2 linked regions of the Sus scrofa genome follow. The protein of the gene in region 1 interacts with the protein of each later gene in a pairwise test. Links are inferred from orthologs where the notes say so. Each region holds a gene or a part of one and is shown on either strand. Other genes may lie near its edges.

Region 1 (3,816 bases):
CTAAAAATGAAAAAATTCATATGGAAGGTAGAATATAGTTCTAAGAAAGAAAAACAGTTCAGAGACGGTAGAGATGCAAAAAAAATGCACTTTCTTTTGATCAGTTCTGGTTTTTGATTATACATGGATATATATTATACATAAATATTCATACATATTTATCCATAAATATTCATGTGTTCTATGTACACTTACAGCTTCACATGTTCATATCTTTTGAGATCACCTTCATCTAAAGCTCTCAAAATCATTTAGATGAAAATCGAGATGCAGTTTTTATTTGCTTTTGTTTCATTACAAATGCATGCTCTGGACTGGGTGGCATCTATTACCATTGTTGAAAATATGAGATCATAAAAACACAGATACATGTTTGGTAACTACTTTCAGATGACTGGTTCCTTAATGTACAGAACCAAAAGGCGCACTACACTAAGTACCTGTAATTCCAAAGGCATTACAGATTTTAATAAAGTTTTAATAACTTTGATAAATTTTATTACTTATTTGTCACAGACAAAATCTGCTGATAGAGTTAAGTGTTCCTATTCTATTTCTTATCACTTAGCTCTTAGAAGTCAGAGAATAATGAAAATTTGCTTAGGTTGTCCAGAATCTGGGCACCACGCCTACTTGAGGGTGAAGATAAAAGATAATGAAGAGGATGACAATAATGATGATGATCATGTCAAAAGAATAGCACCAAAGAAATGGAATCCTCTCTTCCTTCTTTCTGGGACTTAAATCAGTGTATAATAGGTCTCTTTATAATCAGTACTCTTTCCTCTCACCCATGTTTGCTGTGTATCTATGTACACTAGGTAAATATGTACTTTGCCATGTTAAGCTGAAAGCTGCCATAGCAGAAAAAGTCCCTTTTTAAATGGTACTGAAAATATATGTAAGGTTATTAAAAGTAAAAATTTAAAAATACACACTCAACAGCTTCTTGTATCTTGACGATCTAAACTGATGTTCAGTTATAGTACTAGAACAAACATCATCACCTCCACCCCCTCCCCCACAACAGGACGAATTCTGTAGTCCACAAAGAAATAAGCCTGGCCGATACCAAACGGAGTAGCTTATCTGAAAAGAACACTTCTTCCTAGTCTTGGTACAAATATTTTTAGATTTTTTAAGAAGAGAAAATATTACAACAGCTAGTACAGAAACACACAAGGCAATTAGCTACAGATTTTGGGCAGTTTCGTGATGAACATGGACTGCTTCACCATCAGAAGAGAAGGGTCAATCAATGATGGTCCAGTTTATTTCTGGATAAGTAGAAAACATGAGTTCCTGGCCTCTGAATCCAGTTTCTTTCGACAAATGCAGAAGAGAGAACTATATATTTATTTCATATATCTCTTAACCCTGAATACTCTCCTTACCCAGTATCTTGCTGATGTTGGAGTTGTGCATGTCGGGAAAGGCTTGAAGGATTTTCCTTCGTTCATCTTTAGCCCACACCATGAAGGCATTCATTGGACGCTTTATGTGGGGTTCATTGCTACCACGCCCTCTGGATTCTCTATAAATTCTTGATTCTGAGACTCCAGCACTTCCTAAAAACAGGGAACACGGCTTCACATTAGAGTTACATTTTTTGGCAGTTCTCTTCCTTGCATTATTGTTTTTTGGTCCATTAAAATATGTGAAAAGGAAAAGCACATCTGATAACAGCACTTCTAGTTCTTGAGCCAGATGCTCGTTTATGAAGTTTCTGTGATAAGCCTCATGGTGGCAAATGTTGTATTGGTATTTTTTAATCCACTTCTAATATATTTAACCTTTCTTTCAATGGGCTATGGACTGTTTCACCATTTACTTTCAAGAGCAGACAAGAAACCTGAATCTGTGATCTTTGATGCAAACTGGAAAGATAACAGTTGGATTAGATCAATAGGCATGCCAGTACTGTAGAAATATTGATTAGGTCAAAAAGCTCAGAAAGTGTGAAATATCAGTCTTCAGCAGAAGGGGTGACTACAGGGAAAGATGAGTCTCTGCTACCTAAAGACTGTCAGAACGTGGTGTACTCAGGGCCCTTTCCTCTCTTAGGTTATATAAATAAAAACACTACTAGATAAATGTTTGAGGTTAAAACACAATGTAGATATTTCTTGTAGTGTGTCTGACTCCTTTAAAATTATGTGTGTTAATAAATGCGTGAAATATGCTGATGCAGCAATGACAGTCTGTTCCCCAAAGGATATCTGAAGTAGAAAAAGAACAAAGGAATAGTTACATCACTATCATTTCTTCGAAAGTCTACAGTCACATATTTCCCTGAATTTCCCCCCTTAACATCTAAGTTATCCAAAGAGACCCAATGCTGATTATCTTCCAATTAGCATGACTCAGGATGATAAAATGCAACCAAGAGTCACAATGGAACCTATGGGAGGTGCAGTCACTCCTCTAGGCTTCTGACTTTTTGTAGAATGGCTTTAGTAGATTAAACTGCTTCAAGAGCTACTTGAAATTAGGCAAAGAAAATAAGGAGAAGGGGAAAAATACCAAGAACCCTGATGCTAACTTTTTCAGGGTGATCATTACAAAAGATGAGAGAGATGGTAGCATTTTTACATGGCAGCATGTAAAAAATTTAAATATTTTGGGGATTTTTAGAGCTTGTAATATCAATAAAAGTGCCACTTTTCTTCCTTCACACTTCTTTTCCTTTCTTTTCTTAATTTGAAGGAATAGGAATGAACCAAAATTACCTAGACTCGAAGACCTCTATTGCAACAAACAAAAAAACACAGCATATTTGGAGTTTCTCATCATTGCTCTTTCATAATATGCTCTTTGGTCTTATGAAGATTGGAAAATATTTTGCATAAAGCATGATTGGATTTAACAAATAAGAGCAACAAAATTTTGATTTTTAATGCTGCTTACCATGGGTTTATTTTAGCATGCTAATACAACTTAAAATTTATGAAATGTGTTATTACCAGTAACTGTCTTTTTATTGGCAAAAATGAGTGCAAATATATGGTGACATCTTTCTAAAATGGGTTTCTAACTATCAAATGATCATTTGCACATCTGCCTTTTCTTGTTCTTACACCTTACAGAACATAAGCAATAAAATGAACATTATGTGACTTCATCAAAGCTAAACAAGCACTTTGTATGTACTCAGGCCAGGTTTATCTTAGCCAAACAAAGTAGAAAAGAGAAGGAAATGTTTGGCTACAACAGGCTAGAAAACCACAGAATTTCTTGGCTATCCAATTCAATAAAATTTTGTCTTGACAGAATTATCAGTTAAATGCTCAAGTGCAGCTAGTCCCCTGGCTAGTGCAGAATGAGATTTAGAAGGAGAATTGGCCCAAGGCACAGAGGAGACAGCTGTGTATTTGGGGGATTCAAGGGAAGTCCTTCTCTTCTTAAGTATGCTTCCCACCAGTTTGCCCTGGTGCCATCTTTTCTCTATTCAGGGAACTTCTGCCATAGCAACAAAGTTGAATTCTTAAAATGAATGTATGTCACCTGACATTCGAGAGAGGGTCCCTGTCAAGGTTCAGTGTCAGAGGAATACCACTTTCTTCTTCTTCCCTCTTTGCTGGGCTATCAGAATTAGAGCATCAATTTATTGAGTTGTCTCTGTAGATGTTTAGAATGTTCACGGATGACGCAGACAACAGAAATCTTGAGGCACATGAGGGAAGCAGAAGACTGCACAGCTGGAGTTGTAGTCAGGTAACAGATGGGAGGTGGGACTCCTGACTGTGTGGTAGACAGTGTAAGAGAGAAAGGGTCCCCAGTGCAAAAAAAAAAAAACCATCCTGAAAATGTCCTCTG
Region 2 (3,816 bases), on another chromosome or scaffold:
GTGAAAGGGCCAGGGACACAGAACCGAGGACCTGGGCGGCACCCATGTGAACAGCTGCCCAAAGGGACACTGTCCAGCTGCCAGGGGTTCTACAGTCGTGCTTCTGGGTACCGCTGGCCTTGTGGGTCACTGGTGTGGGTTTCTTGTTAGGGAGATTCTTTTTCTGTTTGAGATGGAGGGGGAATCTTGCAGGTTCCCAGCAGTAAGGATTTCCCGAGCTGGAGTGAACCAGGAGTACAGGACAGTCCACGCTGGATTAACAAAAAGGAAAGAGGAAGGGAAAGGAAAAAGAAAAAGAAAAAGGCGGTCAGAAGATGGGGGCTCCTGACCGCACACCTGCTGCCAGCCTGCCCGTGGTCAGAGCCCGCAGTGGCTGTGCTTTTTGCAGTGGCAGGGGTGTTGTGTCTTTGCAGCCATCAGCTCTCATGATGCCCTCAGTAAATCAAACCCGTGCTCCTCCCTGCACCCGCACCTTCAGGTTGTTGTGAGAATCACTCCTGCTCCCTTCCCTGCACCTACTGTGTGTGGGCGCTGGATGGCCCCACTGAACTGTCAGGGGCATCTCAGTTCAGGTGGCCCTCTTGAGGGTGTCAGGAGTTAGGATGACTAGAGAGAAGTGCTGTGCTTGGCTGGGGGCTGGGAGGGAACACCCCAAGGAAGTGACTTGTCAGGTGAGACTCAATGGGCCACCAGGACCCATGCTGGTGAGGAGGGCTTGTGGCCTAATGAGGAGCAGTTAGGACTCTGCTGATGCTCAGGGAAAGGCTGGATGCTTCACAAACAGGATCTTACTTTCTTTTCAATTACTCCTGGAGGATCTACGGTCCAGGCAGCCCCATGGTGCTTTGAGGGCCCACAAATGCAGGAGCCTCTGCAGTTTCCCAGCTCTGCTGAGCTGCTGTGAAAACTTCCTACCTAAACGTTGGGCAAGTTTTAGAGACAGAATTTCCCTAAGAACCACAGGCCCAACCCCAGCCTCCTCTCACTTGATTTAGGATTTCCTTCAAAGTTGTGGGGAAAGGGCTGGAGTGGAGGAAGGAGGGTGGTAGGGCCTGTGGGGTTGAGAGGAGTAGGCAGAAGTGAGCCCCATGTGTGTTTAAAGGGCCACCAGCAGCACTTGGGACAGTGGGCAGGGGACACGCTGTACAGGGCAGGTGAGGACTTTTCTCCACCTGGCCTACCCGGACACTGCCTCCCCTGCCACCTGCTCCTCCCTGCCAGCATCTCATGTCCTTTCTCCCCCCACCCCATCCTCTTCCTCCCCTTCCAGCACCTCCTGTCAAAGGGAAAAGGAAACAGTCAGAGGGCAGTGACCCCCTAGACCCCCCTGTGTCCCCTCAGCCTGATGGTGGACAGAGCAGGAGCCAGAGCCCTGTCCAGCTGGAGGTGAGTTGAGCAACCCCCTGGGGCCTCTTCCCTGCCCCTCCCTCCTGCCCACCCACTTCCGCACAGCTTCCCAGGTGAACGTGGGGAGCCTAGAGATGCATTCCGTACCCCCCCCACCCCCGCCTCCGGTCCTTCAGAGAGCTAGGGCCCATCCCCTCTGGCAGGGATCTCAGACTTGGTTTTCCTAGCAGAACCCTTTTACCAAATGAGGATTACCTGGAACCCCCATCTATAAAACAGATTGAAGCACTCTTCTACGATGTCGAACTACATTTACGTCCATCTGTCATTCCAATTTATAATACGGACATTCCATGGTGAGATCAGCGCGGCTGTGTTGATGGGCACATTCATTTGAAGAGCAGAGGTCAGAGCATTTTCATTCTGAGGCTGCACAAACCGGTTGCCTTGGTCTCTCACATGTTCCAGTTTCATGGGTAACCTGTGAGCTGGCTTGCTTATTACCAGAGATCTCTGACTAGTTAAAAACATGGACTTGGTACTTGAATAGACTGTCATGGAACACGTGGCTCTCCAAAGGATTCTAGGCCCAGATGGTTCCTGTCCTTTTAGTTTTGGGGGCCTTCCCAACCAGGACCTTAGATCCCTGCCCTGAGCCACCAGCCAGATGAACAGCATCAGCAGAAATTGCCCCCTGGGAGCAGAAACCAAAAGACCTGTGCATCTGACAGCAGTGCCATCGGAGCCCAGGACAGGGTTCCCCTCCCTGAGTTCACCAGGCAGATGGGTGGGTCACAGAGGCAGGGCTGGCAGAGGAGCCCCATAGAGAGCAGCAAGTGCCTTCTTCCTTCAGCTTGGACCACAGGAGCCCTTGGAGGACCACTGGGAGCCCACAGTTTTGTAGAGGAGCTGAAATGCAGATGTAACAAATCTAGAGCAAGATGGCTGATCTGCGAGAGGCCTAGAGAAGGTGCAGGCTGTTCCATGGCTGCCTCTGGAGCCAGGCCTCTGTGGACCCTGACCTGGCGTCCTGGTCACTAACAGCTGGTACCCACACCTTTCTGACCCCAGGAACAATCACTGTAGCCCAGAGCTGGGTCTGGGGGCCTGCTCCCTCCTGTGGGAGCCCGAGGTTGGGGGCCACACATCTCTTTCCTCCCAGGTAGCCTGTGGTTCCACCTGTCCCCAGCCTCCCACCAACTGGGGACTCATCCTCCTGCCTCCTGTTCTTTCCCCAGGACCCCCCCGAGGCAGGCGGGGAGCGGGAGGAGGAGCAGGAGCGGGAGGAGGAGCAGGCCTTCCTGGTCAGCCTCTACAAGTTCATGAAGGAGCGACACACGCCCATCGAGAGGGTGCCCCATCTTGGCTTCAAGCAGAGTGCGTCCCTGGGGTGCAGGCAGGGAGGGGGGGCCCGGCAGGGGACCCCACCCAGACAGGGCGTTGGGGCAGCACCTCCACTCTGGGTGACTCTGGATGTTGCCCCCCCCACCCAGGGGGGTGCACACAGAAAGGGTGCCCCCCTCCAGGCACAAGGCTGGCAATGGGTGGGGCTGGATTTCCATCCTCACAGGCCACTGGGCCCCCAGTGCAGAGGGCGCGGCCTGCCAGGGCATCCCAGTGGCCCTGTCTGGGTGCGTGCTGCTTCTGGGCCTGCCCAACAGGGCCATGTGGACAGGCTGCTGGCTGCCCCCTCCTCCCGCCAAGACTGACAGTGGCGCTGCCCTGTCTTTTCTCCAGTTAACCTGTGGAAGATCTACAAGGCCGTGGAGAAGCTGGGGGCCTATGAGCTGGTAAGGAAGTCACCTCCGCATTCTCGCCCGGCTGCGTCTCCCAGCACATGGCCCCAGCTGGGGAACAGTGTGCTCAACACTGCTGTCCTTGCCCCTAGACAGGAGGACAAGGCAGGGTCCCCAGCCTGCCCTTTCCCAGCCCCCCTGCCTGGCTGTGGGGAAAAGGGGGGACCCACCTTGCCTGCTGGTACTTTGCTGCTCAAAGCAAGATTTCCTCTCCTCCGCATCTGTTCTGCCCTTGTGCTCAGAAAGCTGCTCAGGCCAGCAGTCAGCAGCCCCTGGGAGGGATACCTGGCTGGCGGCCAGGCGCGCCCCCTCCAACCTTGTCATCTCTGCTGCTGGAGCAGCTGCAAGAATGTGTTCTTGCCCCATCCCTGCTGTGGGGGGACCCCGAGGCCAGAGGGTGCCCGCGGGCCATGCCCTCACCTGGCGCTGTTGCAGGTGACCGGCCGGCGCCTCTGGAAGAATGTGTACGATGAGCTGGGGGGCAGCCCGGGCAGCACCAGCGCGGCCACGTGCACGCGCCGCCACTACGAGAGGTACGGCTGGGCCCCCAGGTTATGGGACCTGGGCCTTTCCCTCCCAGGGCTGGGCCAGTGGGACCCTGGCTGGGGAGAGAAGGGCAGCAGGCCTCCTGGACAAGATGAGGGGGGGCGGGGCCCCCACGGCTGTAGGTGGT

What was found.
Region 2: the proteins of SOX5 (region 1) and ARID5A interact in a two-hybrid assay, tested with the Homo sapiens proteins (2 studies listed by BioGRID and IntAct). The two-hybrid records come from large-scale screens. The link is inferred for Sus scrofa from reciprocal best matches to the Homo sapiens genes SOX5 and ARID5A.

Annotation. Positions count from the first base shown.
Region 1 is NC_010447.5:50,149,229-50,153,044, reverse strand, and holds part of SOX5 (transcription factor SOX-5), read right to left. Parts: intron 1,569-3,816; coding exon 1,395-1,568; intron 1-1,394.
Region 2 is NC_010445.4:46,703,908-46,707,723, reverse strand, and holds part of ARID5A (AT-rich interactive domain-containing protein 5A), read left to right. Parts: intron 1-1,270; coding exon 1,271-1,386; intron 1,387-2,585; coding exon 2,586-2,724; intron 2,725-3,084; coding exon 3,085-3,676; intron 3,677-3,816. UniProt on the Homo sapiens protein: DNA-binding protein that may regulate transcription and act as a repressor by binding to AT-rich stretches in the promoter region of target genes.